Linked DNA regions of Rattus norvegicus. The protein of the gene in region 1 binds, or shares a complex with, the protein of each later gene. Links are inferred from orthologs where the notes say so. Each region holds a gene or a part of one and is shown in the gene's direction. Other genes may lie near its edges.

Region 1 (3,513 bases):
TAACAGCTTAAAGTCCCTAGTACTTAGGAGTTTGAGAGAGAAAGAAAGAGTATGAGTTTGAGTTAATTAACATCATCCTGTGAGTGTAGCAAGATTCTATCTCCAATTCTTTTCTAAATTCCAAGTATCATGAAGATTATTGGTAAGTGTGACCCAGTTTCTGGTTACTAGCATCGCCTACAAGCAGGGCTGGGTAGGCAGACAGGAAGACCTCTGGAGCATGCTGGTGACTGGCAAGACACAGCACCTGTACACCTTCATGCACACACTGTACCCAAACCAGTATAAGAATTCTAACTAAGTAACACAGCACTGCAGTGGAGATTTTTATACCTATATGAAATTGAAATCTTGAATTTAAAGCGCTAATTATTGCTTGTTATAATAATGATTCTTAAATTCTTCTGACACACAAAAAGAGAGTGACACACACTCTCTAGAAAGCATTTCCAAGGCGCATTCCCATGTAGATAAAGCTTCCTGCACTCATGGCATCTGGGCATATGGAAGTAGACAAACGAGGGTTGTTCATTTCCTAATCTGTGTCTAGGGATTTGAAGATGAGGACCCATTACAGTAATAGTGATAAGTTATCATGGATAGTGTTCTATCAGGGAAAGTGCAAGTGACATAACTGCTGATGGGAACATAATTATAAACAATGTGTGTCCATGTATATTGTGTACAAAGGTCTTCGAGTAGAAAGGGCATTTTTCCTTCTATTTGAGATTTTCTATTGAGATGTTAACTAACTTATTGTTACCAGCCAATGTCTTTTTAAAAACACCTTGATTTTTTATTTTTTTATTTTTTTAACTCTTCCATGTATGTCCTTTGTAGGTCGTACAGACAGCCTTGTCTGAAACTCAGGACCCAGAAGAAGTGTCAGTAACTGTCAAGGCTTTTATGACAGCAGATCTTCCTAATGAACTCATTGAGCTGCTGGAGAAAATTGTCCTTGATAACTCTGTATTCAGTGAACACAGGTAAGCTGGCAGGGGATTGCATTGGCTTTCTCAGTCTTTCACTGTGGCCTGTCAGTTTGGGGAAGGAACAGAAACAAAGTGAATAGGCAGCTTTCTTTTTTTTTTTTTTTTTTTTTTTTTTTGGTTCTTTTTTTCGGAGCTGGGGATCGAACCCAGGGCCTTGCGCTTCCTAGGTAAGCGCTCTACCACTGAGCTAAATCCCCAGCCCCAAAAGTAATCACCTTTTTTAAACTTTTTTTTTTTTTCGGAGCTGGGGACCGAACCCAGGGCCTTGCGCTTCCTAGGCAAGTGCTCTACCACTGAGCTAAATCCCCAACTAGGCAGCTTTCTTGATTGTTACTCTCCTAATACTGTCTCTTCTTACCTTGACCTTGACACAAGTAACCGTCTAGTGCCACAGTGTTTCCTCATCATTGATGACCTTTTTAAACATTGTGTTGAATGTTTGTTTCTTAAGGAATCTGCAAAACCTCCTCATCCTCACTGCAATTAAGGCTGACCGAACCCGAGTTATGGAGTATATTAACCGCCTGGACAATTATGATGCGCCAGATATTGCCAACATTGCCATCAGCAATGAGCTCTTCGAAGAAGCATTTGCTATTTTCCGGAAGTTTGATGTCAATACTTCAGCAGTGCAGGTAAATCATGAAGTTACATAAATTGAGATACTGACTCTAATGTCTTGATGTTAAGAATATATTGTCTTGTGAGCGTGTGCACAGATTGCTTTCACAGAATAATCATAAAATGCTGTCTGTTTAAATGTAATTCTGTTGGGTAAGATCCATTTTACTGTAACACCAATTCAAAAATGTTGCCCAGGTGTTAATTGAACATATTGGAAACCTGGATCGTGCATATGAGTTTGCTGAACGCTGCAATGAGCCTGCTGTTTGGAGTCAACTCGCAAAAGCTCAGTTGCAGAAAGGGATGGTGAAGGAAGCCATTGATTCTTACATCAAAGCAGATGATCCTTCGTCTTACATGGAAGTTGTTCAGGCCGCCAATACTAGTGGTAAGGCTTCTTGTCTATGTCTTTAAGACCTCCAAACAATTACTAAGCCAAACATTCAGTACATTCTATACTTTTGCTAGTATAGAGGTTAGCACTCCCTGGTTACTTGTGAAAACGTTCAGCTCAGCATCTCAGACTGACTGAATTATATGAATTTAGAAAATCCAGGGGGCTGGAGAGATGGCTCAGCGGTTAAGAGCACCGACTGCTCTTCCAGAGGTCCTGAGTTCAATTCCCAGCAACCACATGGTGGCTCACAACCATCTATAAAGAGATCCGATGCCCTCTTCTGGTGTGTCTGAAGACAGCTACAGTGTACTTATATATAATAAATGAATAAATTAAAAAAAAAAAAGAAAATCCATGGAGAAAATTAATTTTGTTTTGAGGTCTGATAAAATCCTGATAGAGCTCTAGTATATAACTTTAAAGTGGGGAGAAGTATCAAGCAATTTTAGGGCAGTAATAATACAGACGTGTAGTGGAATTTTTAGACTTTAGATATATCCAGTTTTACATTTGTCATTCTACATAATATTTCTTTGAAAAAAGAGTTAAGCTGGTGTGGTGATGTACTCCTGCCACTGAGGCAGGAGGCCTTAAATTCACGGACTGCCTAGGCTATATACATAGCATGACACTCTCAAAAAACAAATTAGCAGGGGGACATCTAACATATTTGGTTGGAAATATAAGAGTGCTAGTTTATGGGCTTATTTTTCTCTTTATTTAGGAAACTGGGAAGAATTGGTGAAGTATTTGCAGATGGCACGCAAGAAGGCCCGAGAGTCCTACGTGGAGACAGAATTGATATTTGCACTGGCTAAAACAAACCGTCTTGCAGAATTAGAAGAGTTCATCAATGGGCCAAATAATGCTCATATTCAGCAAGTGAGTTTCCTGTTTAAATTCCCTCCCCTCTCGTGTGTGTGTGTGTGTGTGTGTGTGTGTGTGTGTGTGTGTGTGTGTGTGTGCGTGTGTGCGCGCGCGCGCGTGTTTAGTGGGATGCTCGCATAAAAGTGCATATGAAGGCCAAGGGCAGGCTTTATTTTTATTCCTTAGAAACCATCCACTTAGAAAAAAACAACAGGGTCTCTTGTTGGCATGGGTCTAAGTAATTTGAGCTAGCTGGCCAGCAAGCACAAAAGACTGACCTACCACTCTGCTGGGATTCCAAGCACACACCACACCTGACTTTTTATGTGGGTCATGGATATTAACTCACATCCTATTGTTTACACGGCAAGTACTTTCCAACTGAGTTATCTTCCTACCTCCACATTTTAACACATGAAAATTCAATGAGCAGCTTACCACCCTGGCAGAATCAATGTGTTAGGACTATGAAATTAAACTGTTCTTAGGAGTGTGTATATGTTCATTCATTTTATTTGTAATTTTTGAGATGGAATTCCTCAGTGGCATGAAGGATGTGTCTTTAAACTTGGTAAACTGCATCAACTTCTGGGTGCTGGATTACAGCATATGCATATCTTTTCCTTTGGTGTA
Region 2 (3,512 bases), on another chromosome or scaffold:
CCGCTTATTGTAAGTTTTAGTGTTTTATTTTATGTATATGCATGCTTACCTACACGGTTGTCTGCATCGTGGGCACGGCATAGCAAAGCGAAGCATGGGCTAACGTGGTAATCCTCTTGTCACAGAAGGTTCCTGGCACCGGCAGTAACAAGAGTAGGCTCTGTACTGCCTTTCTAAACAAAAAAATGATCGAAAAGACTTGCGATGGAGGTTGTTTTTTCTTTTCTAGTCCTGTCCTCTGAACGTCGTTCTCAATTCGGAGCACACGTGTCTGCCAGCAGAGCTGTGCCTGAGGGCAGGGCTGCAGGGGACCTTCTCAGACAGAAGACGCCACTGAAGAGGCCTGACCCGCAGAGCAGCACGATCGAGCATGTTGATCGGACGTTTTCAGATGGACTTGAAAGCAGGTATCTCTTTAATGTGTATTGTGAGATTAACCGTGTTGACGTGAGCTGCCATTCCATACAGTTAAGCTGGTGGAGTGTGACAGCTGTACGTTTCTAATTAAACTTATAACCCCGCACTGTGGGCAAGTCTGGCTGTATTCTGAGGAAACAGACGTCCTGTTTCAGGTTGGCGTCAACTGGAGTAGTCCAAGCCACTCAGGAGACTGAGGTGGAAGGAGTATTACCAGCAGTTTGGAACCAGCCTTAGCAACAAACACCAGTGTCTTAAGAGAAAGCACCAAGACTGAAGTTGATAAGTGGTCCTGTTGTGAATGGCAAAAGTGCGGTACATGGGAGAGAAGCAGTGTGGTGTCTTCTGTGCACGGCAGATCTCAGCTCAAAGCCACCCATGTGGCATGCAGCTTGAGCACGTGGGACAAGTCATTCGCTCAGCCTCACTCTCCTCATCTGTGGAACAGGAGCGCTCTGCCGTTGGTGGGGGTGAAGAGGCTCGTGCCCTCGTACCGTGGTTATAGAGAAGATGCCCAGTGTGTAGACATCGCTTTAGGACGTTAACTCGTGACAGCCCTTACAGTAGCCATGCCAGACGCTGGAGGAGAAACCCAAGTGTATCCTAGTGAGGTTGAGCTTGCGATTGACCCAGCTGATCCGTTCTCTACACAGTCGCATCAGCTTAGCCTGCTGCGCTTACAGCGGCTCATCTGAGAGGGAAAGGGAACCGTGAGGAGTAGGAAGCTGTACTCTGATGTCTGGAGAAGATGCGGGGCTTGTTACTAATCTGAACTTTGGAAAATATTGAACACTCCTCATTGTAAAAACATACCACTAAGTGTGGCATGGGGTGGGGGCAGGCCCTGTGCGTCAAAATAGAAGAGGCACATGGAAGTCCTTAACTATTCTTTAATACATACCAAAAGCATTTTCACCTTTTAGGGCCACAAAAATGCTTTTTGGTATTATAAAAATCTGTGTTTTTTTTTTTTAATATTTATGTATTTGAGTACACTGTCACTGTCTTCAGATACACCAGAAGAGGGCATTGAATTCTATTACAGATGGTTGTGAGCCACCATGTGGTTGCTGGGATTTGAACTCAGGACCTCTGAAAGAGCAGTCAGTGCTCTTAACCACTGAGCCATCTCTCCAGCCCCAAAATCTGTGTTTTTTAAGATACCAATTTATTATCATGCTGCTTTGTATAATTATATTCGTTATCTGTATTAGGAAGATCTGTAATAGCAGTTGAGTTATATTGTAATTGTCCCTCCCAAAATCAGGTTCTGGGACCAGCAACAGTGGGTAAAGGCATTTGTTTTGCCAGCCTGTGGCCTTCAAATACACACACACACACACACACACACACACACACACACACACACACACAAAATGTTTTTTAAATGTTTTGTTGCAAACATCTTACAAGAAGGCATCTTAAAAATAAACAGCTTAGAACCAGGCAGTGGTGGCACATGCCTTTAATTCCAGCACTCGGGAGGCAGAAGCAGGTGGATCTCTGTGAGTTCGAGGCCATCCTGGTCACAGCAAGACAAAATTGCAATCTGTTTAATTACTTCGAATGTGTAGATTCACGCATGCATGCTGTGACATGTGTGGAAGCCAGAGGGCAGCTCTCAGCGAGCAGTTCTCTCTCCCCAACATGTGGCTCCAGGGGTGAGCTCAGGTCACCAGGCTTGGTGGCAGGCTCCTTTACCTAGGAATCACCTTATTGGCCCCTGAAGAGACTATGACAGATAAATTTTTTAAAGTTTTTTATTAACATACGAAAGAGTGGGTTTGTGGTTCTGATTTTGGTGGTCCTGGGATTGAACACAGAGCTTTCACATGCTAGGCAAGCACCCTCTGCCAGCCCTGGACTTCGTTGTCATTGTTTCCAGTTGCATTGTTTTCTATGTTCGTTGTGTCTGTCTGTGTCTGTGGGCACAAACATGCTCAGATCTGGTCTCTACTTACGTTTATGATTAAAATGTATTGAGTTATACTATCAAGTAAGCATGGCCAACTTGCAGGCGTGATAGCCCATCTGTGGATCCAGCACTTGGGAAGCTGAGGCAGGAGAGTTGAGAAGCCAACCTGGGTTATGTAGCAAGAATGGTCACACAGGACACAGCAAAGTCGCTTCACAGTGCCTGAGCTGCTTTGCTTCAGAGCCCAGCCTCACCCTGACCTGTTCCAGTCCTGTGGCTCTGGGTTTGGCTGACAGTCAGCATTGCAGGTGGAACCGTATTAGCCTGAGCGGTTGGCATGGGAAGGGGCCTGTGAGCTTCTAGGGAAAGAGGGCGTCGTCTGTGTGGCCATCATAAACTGTCCAGTCTGTACAGAGGAGCAGGCTCCTGGGCCAGGCTCTATGTTCAGTTCCACTATGCAAGCTAGTGGCCTCCATGCAGGGTGGATGACTGTGATGTGTTTCGTTACTGGTGTATAATACCACGGCTCGTTTCAGGTGCAGCCAAGTAGAAGACATCCTGTGTCCCGTACAGCAAGATTCAAGTGACGTAGAGCGTGTAAGTCCTTGTGCGCGGTGGTGGCAGGCAGCCATGGGTGTGGTGTTTATGAAGACACTAACAGGCAGAGTCGTCGTTCCCGTTCGACTGTTCCTTGGGGTGTTTGAAGCCATGCTGTGTTCTTCAGGACACATCAAGATGGCCTCTTTAAAGTTCTTTGAAAGAATTGCTTTCTGTCTCTGTGTTTTGCCTGCATGTATATCTATTCACTGTGTGCATAGTCTCCTGGACCTGGAATTACACACGGTTGTGAGCTGCCATGTGGGTGCTGGGAATCAAACCCAGGCCCTCTGAAGAGCAGCCAGTGCTCTTAACCTCTGAGCCATCTCTTGCCATGGCCTCTAATCTTTGAACCAGATTTGATGGTGACAGTAACTACTCGTCTGTGTTATTACATCTGGTTTCCTTCACTCCGTAGGCCTTGAACTGGAACCTTCTTGCCCCAGAGTCCTGGGGACACCAGGCCCAGTTTGCTCTTGTAATTTACTTTCTCTTCCCAAAAACATGTGCCACTCTGTGCTGAGTGGGCGCTTGCTGAAAAGGCTGCTGTCTTCCTCACGGTGTTCTTTATGATCTGTGCAGA
Region 3 (3,513 bases), on another chromosome or scaffold:
GGAGAATGCATGGCTGCCACTGTGCAGGAGCTGTGAGGTGGGTCTTTCTCTACTGACTCAGGACACTGGCACCGTGTGTTGTTTATGGTAGAGTCATAGAGTCAGATGAGATAGTGGGGTAGGACGTAGTAGGGCTAACATACCATATAGACATGGCTACAACGGTAACTATTCCCTTAAGTTTCCCCTTGAGTCTTCACTGTGGACTCACACAGTAGGTCCATTGCTTGTCGACTACACTGTCCACTTTCTTCTGCTCATCAAGGAAGCGAAGAAAGAAGAGCTTAGCCTTGTGAGTGCACACACAGGCTGAGAGTTAGACGGTACTCAGCTCAGGTTCACACATCCTGCTGGTCCTCACGGTCATCGCCTAATGGGCATCCAGTATGTCTGATGTTAGCTAGATATTCTAGAGGTGTCATTGTGTGTGTGTGTGTGTGTGTGTGTGTGTGTGTGTGTGTGTGTGTGCGTGCGTGTATGTTTTAAACTGTTTGGAAACTGGCTTGAGTAACCAGCCTTGATTATCAACTTTTGCAGCAAAGTCCAGTGAACTTTCAAGTATTCCCGCTAGCAGCTCCCGGCGTCAGTCAGTCACCAGCAAGTTGGGCAGAGTAGGACTTGCCACGTCACACCAGGCTTTGCCAGCAGCCCCTGCCAGAGCATTTTGCAGACAAGCCAAAAAGGCTGATGCTGCCCAGACAGTGGCAGAGCAGCCCAAGGCCCTCACCCCAAGTCCTCTTGCTCAACAACCCCAGACTCCAAAACACAAAGGACCCAGAGTGGACCTGGACACCGAGACATGTCAGTTGAATAAAACTGTCAGCATAAAACGACAGGACTCCTCTCTAGGCTGCAAGACAGAGGCCGTATCTACCACAACAAACCCATTTAAAGTGCCCCAGTTTTCTGTTGGTAAGTACAGCTACATTGGTCGGTTTTAAGATTTTGGGGAGGCTACTGGTGCGGCTGGTGCTGTTGGCTTCTTTAACTCTGACTCTGTCCAGGGTGTGTTCTGCCACCCTCTTGTGTCCATTTCTCTGGATAAGCCCGCCCCTGGCCTGCGTCTCTCTCACTCTTGTCATCAGTGTGGTTGTCCACAGGTGTGGTGGCTTTTGTCCCACCTGGGTGGTGAGAGCTTCATTGTTCTGTTGCTGTTGCTGTTCTGCTTCTGTGGTTCTGTTTTTAACCCCCTGGACTATGTTTCCCTTAAGGGGCTGAGCTTGGCAACCAGTGAATGTAGCCCAGTCTGCTCCGCTGTCACGGATGGGTCTGGAATGGGCGCTGTTTGGCCTGTTGCAGTGTGGGGTTTTGCACAGGCACTGCTAAGTGTCCTGTTGTTTGCTCGGCCCACTCAGGCTGGGGGCTGTGCTGTTCCTTGTTCTCCGTTAGTTGCTTGTCTCGACCTTGAGGCATCTTGCCTGCACAGTGCTGCCGCTGTGCAGCGCCCTTTCAGGAGATGCTACAGAGTTTTCTAGAGTCATTTTCTCTGTGTTGCTTCTCTCCAGCTCTCTGGCTCTCAGATTCTATACCTCAGTCCCTCAGATGCTAGCCATTGTCCTCTCAGCCAGTAAGACTGTCCTGCTCTGGTTTATCAAAACCAGCATGTTCTGCATAATGAGTTCCTGGCCACCCAGGACCACACAGTGAGACAGTGTTAAAAACAAAACCAAGTATTTCTCGTTTTTTCCTATTTAAAGCTTGGCTCAGGCTGGAGAGATGGCTCAGTGGTTAAGAGCACTGACTGCTCTTCCAGAGGTCCTGAGTTCAATTCCCAGCAACCACATGGGGGCTCACAACCATCTGTAATGGCATCTGATGCCCTCTTCTGGTGTGTCTGAAGACAGCTACAGTGTACTCATACATAAAATAAATTAATAAAAAATAAACAGAAAGCTCTTCACTGAAAATATTTGTTAGAAGAGTTTTAATACCTGTGGGTGTGTGTATGTACTGTGACACACCTGGAGTTCAGAGTATATCTTTTCAGAATTGGTTTTGTCTTTCCACAGTGTGGATAAATATAACATCTTTAACCCAGCACTCAGGAGCCGGAGGCAGGCATATTTAAATTCAAGGCCAGCCTAGTCCAGAAAACAAAGATGAGCCAAGACAGCACAGTAGACCCTGTCTCCAAAGTAAATAAATAAGTAAATAAATGAATAAATAAATAAATAGAACAGAGCCAGCAACAAAAGAAAGACATTGAAAAGGGTTGTCACCGGTCGGTGGGCAGAGGCAGGGGCCTTCTCTGAATGTGATCCCAGTTTGTTTCTTTCAGTCTCCAGAGAGCATAAGAAGCCCCTGAACACACAGCAGTAGTAAGGTTTGATGAGTGGTCAATGCTGAAGTCTTTCTCCTTGGCCTCTGGCCTCTGCCTTTGACTGCAGCAGGCTTCCTGGCTCCCAGCTCTGCCTGTGGTGGTGCTCAGGTGGGCACCCCAGAACCTGTAAGCAGAGAGGAGACTCAGGCACACCATGGCAGCTGCTCTGCTGGCTCTGGTTGGCCAGGGCCCTCTACTCACTGAGGGAAGCAGAGAAAGGTGCATCTCTGGAGTTCAAGGCCAGCTTGATCTACACAGGGAGTTCCAGGATACCTAGAGCTGCACAGTGAGATACTAGTTCAAAAAACAACTACACAACAACAAAGCAACAGTAGGAGGAGGATGGAGAAGAAGGAAAGGGAAACACATCAGACACAGTGGCTTCTGCCTATGATCCCAGTACAGGGGAGACTGGGGCAGGAGATCACAAGTTCTAGGCTAACCTGGGCTACAGAGTGAGACCATGTCCCCAAATAAAACAAAACCCAAGATTTTGGTCTTATCTGAATATCTTTCTTATGCTGTCATGTTTAAAGACAAAGGATCCTATGGTAAGACATCTTACAAAGAATATTTAAGATCTATTTTTTTGTGTGTGATTGTTTTGCCTGAATGTATATGTATACACCTTATGTATGCCATGCCCAGTATAGAAGACAGAACTGGGCTTTAGGTCCCCAGGAACTAGAATTACAGACATGTGAGTTGCCTCGTGGATTAGGGGGTGTGGCCTTGTTGAAGGAGGTGTGTCTCTGGAGGGTGAGCTTTGAAGTTTCAAAAGCCCACTCCGTTTGCAGGTAACTGCCTCATGCTTGTGGTTCAGACGTAAGCTCCCAGCTACTGTCCAGTATCATGCTCGCCTTCTTGCTGCAATGCTTCCTGCCGTGATGGTCATGGACTCTGAAACTGTGGGCCCCAGTTAAATGCTTTCCTCTGTAAGGTACCTGGGTTCTGGTGCCTTACAGCAGTAGAATATTGAAGACAGTTGGAGACGAGATTAGACAGTATTCTAGTTTGCTTTCTGTCACTCCGATAAACACCCAGGACCAAGGCACCTTGAGTTTATTTGGCTTACACTTCCACATCATAGCTCAGCACTGAGGGAAGTCAGAGCAGAGATTCAAGCAAAGACTACAGAGGAATGCTGCCTACCTGCCCAAGGCTGGTACCATTACAGCAGGCTGGACCCTTGC
Region 4 (3,513 bases), on another chromosome or scaffold:
GGAACTGATGCACAGGGAGGTAATTTCCCCAGAGCATGCCGTAACTCGCCAGCTCAGTCTGTCCCGGCTTCTACCCTAAGCCCTGTGACCTCCATTGAACTCTCATTCGTGGGCCTCTCTGAGTCACCTCTTCACTGTCCTGCACTCTTGGCTGAATCCACATCCTATAATGGACATCCTCCTCCATGAGGGCTGTTAGTTCTGCACACTTCCACTTAGCAAGTGCCAGGCGGCAGGTGCTGACCCACGTGCTGAGACTGTGGTGGTGAACCAGCTAGGTAAGAAGTTCCCATCCTCCAGTGGCTCACGCGATCAGGAGACAGGGAGCAAGAAGTAAAAAATAGTCCCTTTCTTACTATTTATTGTGCTGGGTCCTGGGATCCACAGACCCAAATGAAGCACTGCTGTCGAATGGCTCAGGGACAGGGTTGAGGAGGCTGGGGCTGTGTCACATGGTGACAAACCCTCCAGGTTAACCACCGTGATTGGCGAGCAAGAGGGAGCTGCAGTAGCCACTTGAGCAGAGAAGGGAGTGTGGGGGCCGGTGACTCTGTCTGTCTTTCTCCCCATCCATCTTCTTTAGGAATTCTGTGCGGCTAGTCATCCGGAAGGTTCAATATGCCCCTGAGAGGCCTGGCCCTCAGCCCACGGCTGAGACCACCAGACAGTTCCTCATGTCGGACAAGCCCCTGCACCTTGAGGCATCTCTGGATAAGGAGGTAAGAGACTCAGATCCCATTGTCCCCAGCTCTACTACCCCTCAGATCCCAGTGTCTCCTGACAGCCCTTAAGTGTTTGCAGAACCCTGTTGTGGTTCAAAGGACTGACAGAGGTAGGCATGGGCATTTACAGGATGGGAGCAATGGAAGGGTTCTGGTCCTTCTCTTCACACTCTGATAATTGCCTGCTTGAGACCGGGTGGAGAAGCCCAGCACATCAGCAGGGGTGATGATGGGAAAGAGGACCCAAGGATGCCTTGCTATTACCCTCTTATCTATGAGCAAGAAGGTGAAAAACCCTTGAAGTCAGGTGACTAAGCCAACTGACTGGGGTGTAGGAGTGCACCTCCTCCTTCTTGGGGCAGCTAAAGGCAAGGGCCTGGACGAGTGGTGGAATTCTCTAAGAATTCCGAGCAGGTCCTTTAGTTGGTTAGCCTTTCCTCTCTTCTCCTGAATTTTCCAGAGTTTAATGTGTCTGCGAACCCAGACCATCAGAGCCCACAGGGACTTGAGGCCTTGCTCTGTCCAAGCCTGCACATAGAATAAGGAGAAGCAGAGTCTCAGATAACCTGTCCAAGGTCATGCAATGTTTATCATCATTGCTATTATTGTTGTTTGAGCTAGTGATCAGAATGGGACTGGAGCCGAGGATGTCAGCTTCTTTTTCTTTTTCCTATGTGTGTATGTGGGCGTGCATGGGTGCATGGGTGCTTGTGTATGTGTGTGTGTATGTGGTATGTATATGTGCGTGTGTATGTGTGTGTGATGTATGTGTGTGTGTGGTATGTATGTGTGTGTATGTATGTGTGGTGTGTGTGTGTGTGTGTGTGTGTGTGTGTGTGTGTGCACGTGTGCCCACACATGCATGTGTGTGGACCTGGAGGACAATCTTGAAGGTGTCATTCTCAGAAATGCCATCCAGCTCCTTTGAGGCAGTCTGTCAGTGGTACAGAGCTTACCTGGGCTAGATTCTGTGGGCATTGAGCCCCAGGGGTCCTCTTGTCTCTGCCTTCCTAGTGCTGGGATTACAAGTACCCAGCATTTCTACACAGCTTCTGGAGATCAAACTTAGTTCCTTGTGTTTGCAACACAAGTACTTTACTGACAAAGCCGTCCCCTCAGTCCTGGAATGGAAAGACATCTAGTACAGACGTCTTTGAAAGGTCCTACAGTGGTACTGAAGGTTCATATACACTTGGTAGTTTTGTGACACTTTTATGTCAGTGGGAAGTGGCTGAAGAGCTAGGGGGCAGAGTTTAGTGTCCCTGCCCACACTCTTCTGTCTTTTGCCTCACAGATCTATTATCATGGAGAGCCCATCAGCGTCAATGTCCATGTCACCAACAACACCAACAAGACTGTGAAGAAGATCAAGATCTCGGGTAGCTGGGAATCCTTCTGGGGGGGTGGGATAGCGGCAGGCGTGGTCTTCATTAAAAGCCTGAGACAGTACCATTAGTAGCTTCCTGAAGCTTGCGTCTGCCGGCAGCCTACAGTGGCTTCAAAGCTGGGCAATGGGTTTACTGCCTTGCAGATTCCTTCTTAGGCTTCCTGGGCTCTGGCCAAGCTGTCCTGGGAAGAAAGACTTCGTCATGGAAGGGACTAGGCTTTGATGGGGTTTCTGTTTGGGTGGAGTCTGGGGTGGTGGCCTGTGGTAAATGCTGGCCATTGTCTCAATCTAAGCAAGCACATCTGCCACAGGGAGCTTGAGGTATATCATGAGAGGGACCCCTGACTCATGCGCCCACCTCCCCGGCCCCTCTCTCTCCAGTGCGCCAGTATGCAGACATCTGTCTCTTCAACACAGCTCAGTACAAGTGCCCAGTGGCCATGGAGGAAGCTGAGTAAGTGTGTTTGAAGCCAACTTTGGATGGGTGGGACTAGATAGGAGAAAGGGAAGTTCTGAGTCTAGGACCAGGCATCTTTTTTTTTTTTTTTTTTTTTTTTTTTTTGGTTCTTTTTTTCGGAGCTGGGGACCGAACCCAGGGCCTTGTGCTTCCTAGGTAAGCGCTCTACCACTGAGCTAAATCCCCAGCCCCAGGACCAGGCATCTTTAATCAACCTGCAGAGAGCCGGGCCTCTGCCTTCTTTGACATTCACAGTAGATGGCACGGAAGAGTCTTCCTCCAGGTGCTGACATTATAGGCGTGAGCCAGCCACACCTGCCACTTAGACCTGGTTTCTAATATCCTAGAGACAGAGATGTTAATATCAAACCAACTATTCTTGCATTATTGGATAGTCTCATATTCACTGTTGATTAAAAATGAAGTCCGCAGCCACAAGGCATAGATGTTGGGGGTTCATTGCAACGACCTAGAGCCAGGACAGCATTTAACCCCAGGTGGGACACCATAGTCTGTATATGCATCTGCAGCCTGGAGGAAGGATAGTCGTCTGGGCTTCCAGTGAGCATGGTTTCCCGTGGGGTTGGGCTAGGGGGTTGAGATGTGGCTGGCTCTGCTCCAAGAGGCAAAGCTGGGCCTTACTCCATGGCTGCCCTGGTGTCAGGTGAATGCATCTGTCTCATCTTTGGAAAGGGAGAGGGGGGATAAAATAGCACCAGGCCAGAGTGAACAACGGAGGTTCCTGTACATGACTGATGGATACGCATTAGAGCAAGTAGAGTTTCAGTGGTAGAACCTGGGTAGGAGCTGCCAGACACTTACTCATGGTTTGCATGCAGTGATACTTTTGAAAGTAAACGTGGGCTGAGTAGTTAGGAGCCCTTGCTGTTCCTCTAGAGGACCAGGGTTCATTTTCCAGTCCCCATGTCAGGCAGCTCACAACAGCT
Region 5 (4,255 bases), on another chromosome or scaffold:
GGTTGTGAGTCACCATGTGGTTGCTGGGAATTGAACTCAGGACCTCTGGAAGAGCAGTCAGTGCTTTTTTTTTTCCTTTTTTTTCTTTTTTTCTTTTCTATTTTTCGGAGCTGGGGACCGAACCCAGGGCCTTGTGCTTGCTAGGCAAGCGACCTACCACTGAGCTAAATCCCCAACCCCCAGTCAGTGCTCTTAACCGCTGAGCCATCTCTCCAGCCCCGTGAAATGCTTTTCTGAGGCTGACATCAACCGTGAACCCACTGAAGCTCTGAGTACCTTCACTGCAGCTACCTGTACAAGACCATCCCTCCGGCAGCAGCGTTAATTGAGCTCAGTGGGTTATTAACACCAAAAAGGAGAGAATATGAAGGGGGAGGGCAATTGTTGGGGGGGTACCTGGGAGGCCTGAGATAAGTGAGGGGGGTGCATATGATCAAAATACATTACTTGTATGTATAAAATTGTCAAAGAAAAAAAAAAAAAGAGAGAGAGAGTTATCTCCGGGCAGTGGTGGTGCATGCCTTTAATCCCAACCCCAGAGGCAGAGCACGCGCAGATCTCTGTGAATTTGAGCCCAGTCTTATCTACAGCATGAGCTCCAGGAATAGCCAGGAATACACGCAACAACCCTGCCTTGAAAAACAAAAACACATCCAAAAAAAAAAAAAGGATATTCTATTTTTTTTTAAAGGTCACTAGTCTAGTTTGAAGCCTCAACTATACATTCAAGGTCAGATAGGCTACATTAAAAAAAAAAGCGAAAATGATTGCAGTGAGAGTTTGAGGCATGACATACAATCTGCTGTCTCAAAACATATATTGTTAATTACCAAAGAAAATGGCAACTTTACTGTGGAGAGAACAGGCTCCACCTGTACTGAATGATCAACGTGAACCTAACCAATAATGGGACAAACTGACATTCTGCTGTAAGAACTCGGTCACATTAATCTGAATAACTAAAGAAAGAGCTCAAGTGGAGAGACAAAACAATCAGCCAGTTGCCTTCTCGAACATCAATGTCACCAGACACAGAGAAAGAGGAACCGTCCCTGATTTCAGGGGATCATCACACAGATAGGGCGGCGGGATGATTCGTGCCGTCCTAGGCCAAGAGAACAAGGCTCTGCTGCGCGCACCGGGCACTCAGCTCCCTCCTCCTACGCAGGAAAAGGGCGTTCATATCACGCAGCTACAAAAATAGGAGAAACTTTTCCGTGAATGGACCCGGGCGGGCTCGGGAGGCTTGCACGCTCTGGGGCTGGTGAGGCGGTAGGTGGGCTGCCCCGGGGCTCGAACCGAGGGCGGGGCGACCACCCAGCCCCGCGGGCCCCGCCCTCGGCCGCTGACGTCACCACATTCCCGCCGCGACTCCTCCCGCCGCCGCTGCAGCCGCAGTGACAGGCAAGCCCGGCGGGTGACGGGAAGTGCGGGCCGCGGGTGCGGGCGGGAGGTGACAGCAGCCACGCGGGGAAGATGGCTGAGGACTTCGGCTTCTTCTCGTCGTCGGAGAGCGGGGCCCCCGAGGCCGCCGAGGAGGACCCGGCGGCCGCCTTCCTGGCCCAGCAGGAGAGCGAGATTGCTGGCATCGAGAATGACTCGGGTTTCGGGGCACCTGCCGCCAGCCAGGTGGCCTCTGCGCAGCCCGGACTCGCGAGCGGGGGTGAGTCAGCGCAGCGGCCTGGAACGGGGGGCCGAGGCCACCACCGGGGGCGGGAGGCCCAGTCTCGATCAGACCCGGCCTGGGTTCCTGCAGTAGTCTGAACCCAGCTATCCAGGGTGACCAGGGGTACCCCGGGGGGCTGTGTGTATCTGTGAGGCCTGGGAAAAGAGGGAGGAGCCGGGAGATGAGTTGGAGCCTGCGCTGAGGCTGGATCTGCTGACTCTGGGGACAGGAATTTTAGTCATGACATTTCATCTCCAGGCCAACTCCTCCACCGTCTGGCTCTGGAACCCTCCCCCTGCTCGGTTCTGAGACTGTCCCATTGTCCTAGCTAAGTGGTACAGGTGTGGGACAGACACAGTCCTCCTGACCCAGGAGGGCTTAGCGTTCCATTCTGCAAGGAAGCAGGGGGCGCTCGCAGGAGAACTCGCAGCAGCTCTTCCTTGGGGACCACCTGCCGTCCTGCAGGAGACAATGTTAATTACATAGAATAATTTCATACACGTTACGGAACCCATTTCAGAACTGGCTTCAAAGGGTGTTAAAACAACTAGGAAGTAGCAATCGAGAATTAAACCCCTTCTGTCGGATGCTGAGTCTTGTCCGTACCACACAGTCTTTCAAGAGCCTGACTGTAGGTCTGGACAGGGGCACACATGACCATGGGCTGTACCCTTCCTGTTTGTTCTTATAAATATACTTAAATATTTAGTAAAAATATGAACCTTCCTGGTTGCACTCCTAATAGATCTTGTTTCCTTTCTTTTCTTTCTTTCTTTCTTTTTTTTTTTTTTTCTTTTTTGGTGTCATGTTAAAGAGGTTTAATGGGTCCTGTTGGAAATAAGAATTGTAGATATTATGTTTATCTTCCTTTCATTCAACATTTTACTGTGTTGCCATCCCTGCTGGGGACACAGAAAGAAGAAGAAACTGTATCTATGGCCAAGCAGTTGAATGAACTCTGACATAAGAGTGTAATAAGCCTTCTGTAACATACACGAAGCTAGAGTTTGAGGGATTATCAGGATGGCTTGGGGAGTCAAGGTAAATCAACCCAGGTGATGACACCTGAGCTCGGTTCGTGGAAACCACGTGGTAGAGAGAACTCACGCCCACAAATTGTCCTCTGACCTCACATACAAGTGTGCGCTGTACACACAAAACACACACATAAATAAGACATAGATAATAATAATAATTAAAAAGAAAAAAACCCTGGAGTTTGAATGTCTTGCCTAGGGCCACACAGCCATGAATGATAGGTCTTGGGGTCTTCTTAGGGGATGATTGGATAAGGCAAGGAGCAGCAGGGTCTAGCCAAGCCATCCATGCAGGTCTGAAATAGCAGCTCTCAGTACCTCAACATAGGCCCTTCATTGTCCCAGTGAAGCTACCTAAGTTCCTGCATGGGACTCACTTGTCCACGGTTACCCCTTGAGAACAGTCTTTTCCCTCGTTAGGAGGTCCCAGGTTGTCAGAAACTCAGGAGAAAGACAGATGCGGTTCGGGCTGAGGATGGCCACATGAACCTGGGATTTTGCAAGTTGTCATCTTTCCTAGGGACTGACAATCTGAGTGGGTAGGGCACTGAATGGCCCTAGATATGAGATAACCTGGAGGGGGACAGTGGGGATAATCCTTAGGGGAGCTGCCAGGGACATGGCCCTCTGAGAGTCTCCCGGACTCCTACATTTGATGCTGCAGGTGCCCAGCTGCCCTTCGGAGTGACAGTTTGGGGAAGAAGGGGATGCTTCAGGAGGGAGTTCAACGGCTGTTCAAGCATAAAAAGAAGGGACCCCATTCTGGGGTTGAGGATTTAGCTCAGTGGTAGAGTGCTTGCCTAGCAAGCACAAGGCCCTGGGTTCGGTCCCCAGCTCCGAAAAAAAAAAAAAAAAAAAGGGACCCCATTCTCCAAAGCCCAGATGGTGGGACACACCTCTGCATCGCAGGGAATGGTAGAAGCCTGGGTGGTCTGAGGTGAACTGTCTGGGCCTTCTGGGAGCTGAAAAGAATCTGATTCTAACAGCAGCCACCAATGCACACCTCTGAGTCACCTCCCTTAGACAATGAGGTCTTCTGATAGCAGTTCTGTGCGGGAGTTCAACTGCTTCACTGCGCTGGCTCTCAGGCTGGCTGCCTGGGGAAAGCTGTGTCTGGCTTAGGCCTGAACCGGAACCCCACTGAGCCTTCCCTCTCGCCAGATCTGCAGCGGGCCTGAGCCGCGGATACTTTGTTTCCATTCATCAGCCTTGGGCACTGCCCAAATGCTCTACACTTTCACACCCTGTTCTCCCGGCTCTTGGCTAGACTGACTTATGGGCCAGCTCCGTGTAATCCTATTGCCCCTGCTGGCCTCAGTAAGCTCTCAGGAATGTTCTGGATCCTTTGCCCTTATTCCCGAGGAGGTTGCACACCAAAAACCCTATCCTTGGGACTCGTTATTTGCCTTGCTGTGTTTGTTCTGCCGGGCACTGTTTTAGAGTTGGAATCCTAAATGTGCAAGAGCCCTGTGGGGATACACGCTGGTGATTCCGAGAGTGAGTGTGTATGCTGTCCCAAAGAGGCTAACAATGACCCATTTTCCTGGAGGCC

The links.
Region 2: the proteins of Cltc (region 1) and Dlgap5 are in contact, whole or in part, in a crystal structure (PDB 7ZX4), measured with the Homo sapiens proteins. The link is inferred for Rattus norvegicus from reciprocal best matches to the Homo sapiens genes CLTC and DLGAP5. Residues at the interface, in NP_004850.1 of Homo sapiens: Val50, Arg64, Pro65, Ile66, Ser67, Ala68, Leu82, Lys83, Ala84, Thr87, Gln89, Phe91, Ile93, Lys96, Ser97, Lys98; in NP_055565.3 of Homo sapiens: Gly833, Asn834, Leu835, Ile836, Thr837, Phe838, Ser839, Pro840, Leu841.
Region 3: the proteins of Cltc (region 1) and Gtse1 are in contact, whole or in part, in a crystal structure (PDB 6QNP), measured with the Homo sapiens proteins. The link is inferred for Rattus norvegicus from reciprocal best matches to the Homo sapiens genes CLTC and GTSE1. Residues at the interface, in NP_004850.1 of Homo sapiens: Val50, Arg64, Pro65, Ile66, Ser67, Ala68, Leu82, Lys83, Ala84, Thr87, Gln89, Phe91, Asn92, Ile93, Lys96, Ser97, Lys98, Asp143, Arg144, His145, Trp164, Gln182, Leu183, Tyr184, Ser185, Arg188, Lys189, Val190, Ser191, Gln192; in NP_057510.5 of Homo sapiens: Ser686, Arg687, Pro688, Leu689, Ile690, Asp691, Leu692, Met693, Ser707, Pro708, Val709, Val710, Gly711, Gln712, Leu713, Ile714, Asp715, Leu716, Ser718.
Region 4: the proteins of Cltc (region 1) and Arrb1 are in contact, whole or in part, in a crystal structure (PDB 3GC3), measured with the Bos taurus proteins. The link is inferred for Rattus norvegicus from reciprocal best matches to the Homo sapiens genes CLTC and ARRB1. Residues at the interface, in NP_776448.1 of Bos taurus: His12, Leu13, Gln14, Gln16, Asn17, Leu18, Gly19, Val50, Asn56, Asp57, Pro58, Ser59, Asn60, Ile62, Arg63, Arg64, Pro65, Ile66, Ser67, Ala68, Lys78, Ile80, Leu82, Lys83, Ala84, Thr87, Gln89, Phe91, Asn92, Ile93; in NP_776668.1 of Bos taurus: His30, Ile31, Asp32, Leu33, Val34, Glu35, Pro36, Pro96, Thr98, Arg99, Tyr173, Pro175, Lys355, Thr374, Asn375, Leu376, Ile377, Glu378, Leu379, Asp380.
Region 5: the proteins of Cltc (region 1) and Cltb are in contact, whole or in part, in a cryo-EM structure (PDB 6SCT), measured with the Sus scrofa proteins. The link is inferred for Rattus norvegicus from reciprocal best matches to the Homo sapiens genes CLTC and CLTB. Residues at the interface, in NP_001139599.1 of Sus scrofa: Gln1291, Arg1293, Gly1294, Phe1296, Lys1326, Phe1327, Gln1354, Ala1355, His1356, Pro1382, Thr1383, Glu1413, Phe1414, Lys1415, Pro1416, Leu1417, Gln1444, Pro1446, Leu1447, Thr1473, Glu1474, Glu1475, Glu1503, Leu1504, Ile1505, Arg1508, Leu1533, Lys1535, Met1538, Lys1562; in XP_005661527.2 of Sus scrofa: Pro100, Ser102, Trp106, Gln110, Leu114, Ser121, Thr124, Glu125, Trp128, Arg129, Ala132, Asp135, Leu136, Trp139, Val147, Asn150, Lys151, Asn154, Arg155, Asp158, Tyr162, Glu191, Trp192, Lys194, Val195, Leu198, Cys199, Asp200, Phe201, Cys209.

The regions. Positions count from the first base shown.
Region 1 is NC_086028.1:72,025,690-72,029,202, reverse strand, and holds part of Cltc (clathrin heavy chain 1), read left to right. Parts: intron 1-840; coding exon 841-986; intron 987-1,443; coding exon 1,444-1,627; intron 1,628-1,811; coding exon 1,812-2,004; intron 2,005-2,737; coding exon 2,738-2,895; intron 2,896-3,513. UniProt on the Homo sapiens protein: Clathrin is the major protein of the polyhedral coat of coated pits and vesicles. Two different adapter protein complexes link the clathrin lattice either to the plasma membrane or to the trans-Golgi network.
Region 2 is NC_086033.1:23,116,674-23,120,185, reverse strand, and holds part of Dlgap5 (disks large-associated protein 5), read left to right. Parts: intron 1-229; coding exon 230-407; intron 408-572; coding exon of another isoform or gene 573-654; exon of another isoform or gene 655-2,850; intron 2,851-2,868; coding exon 2,869-2,929; intron 2,930-3,512. UniProt on the Homo sapiens protein: Potential cell cycle regulator that may play a role in carcinogenesis of cancer cells. Mitotic phosphoprotein regulated by the ubiquitin-proteasome pathway.
Region 3 is NC_086025.1:118,836,662-118,840,174, forward strand, and holds part of Gtse1 (G2 and S phase-expressed protein 1), read left to right. Parts: intron 1-537; coding exon 538-912; intron 913-3,513. UniProt on the Homo sapiens protein: May be involved in p53-induced cell cycle arrest in G2/M phase by interfering with microtubule rearrangements that are required to enter mitosis. Overexpression delays G2/M phase progression.
Region 4 is NC_086019.1:163,305,716-163,309,228, forward strand, and holds part of Arrb1 (beta-arrestin-1), read left to right. Parts: exon of another isoform or gene 1-577; intron 578-583; coding exon 584-719; intron 720-2,016; coding exon 2,017-2,101; intron 2,102-2,490; coding exon 2,491-2,563; intron 2,564-3,513. UniProt on the Homo sapiens protein: Functions in regulating agonist-mediated G-protein coupled receptor (GPCR) signaling by mediating both receptor desensitization and resensitization processes.
Region 5 is NC_086035.1:10,005,267-10,009,521, forward strand, and holds the start of Cltb (clathrin light chain B), read left to right. Parts: upstream 1-1,448; 5' UTR 1,449-1,476; coding exon 1,477-1,663; intron 1,664-4,255. UniProt on the Homo sapiens protein: Clathrin is the major protein of the polyhedral coat of coated pits and vesicles.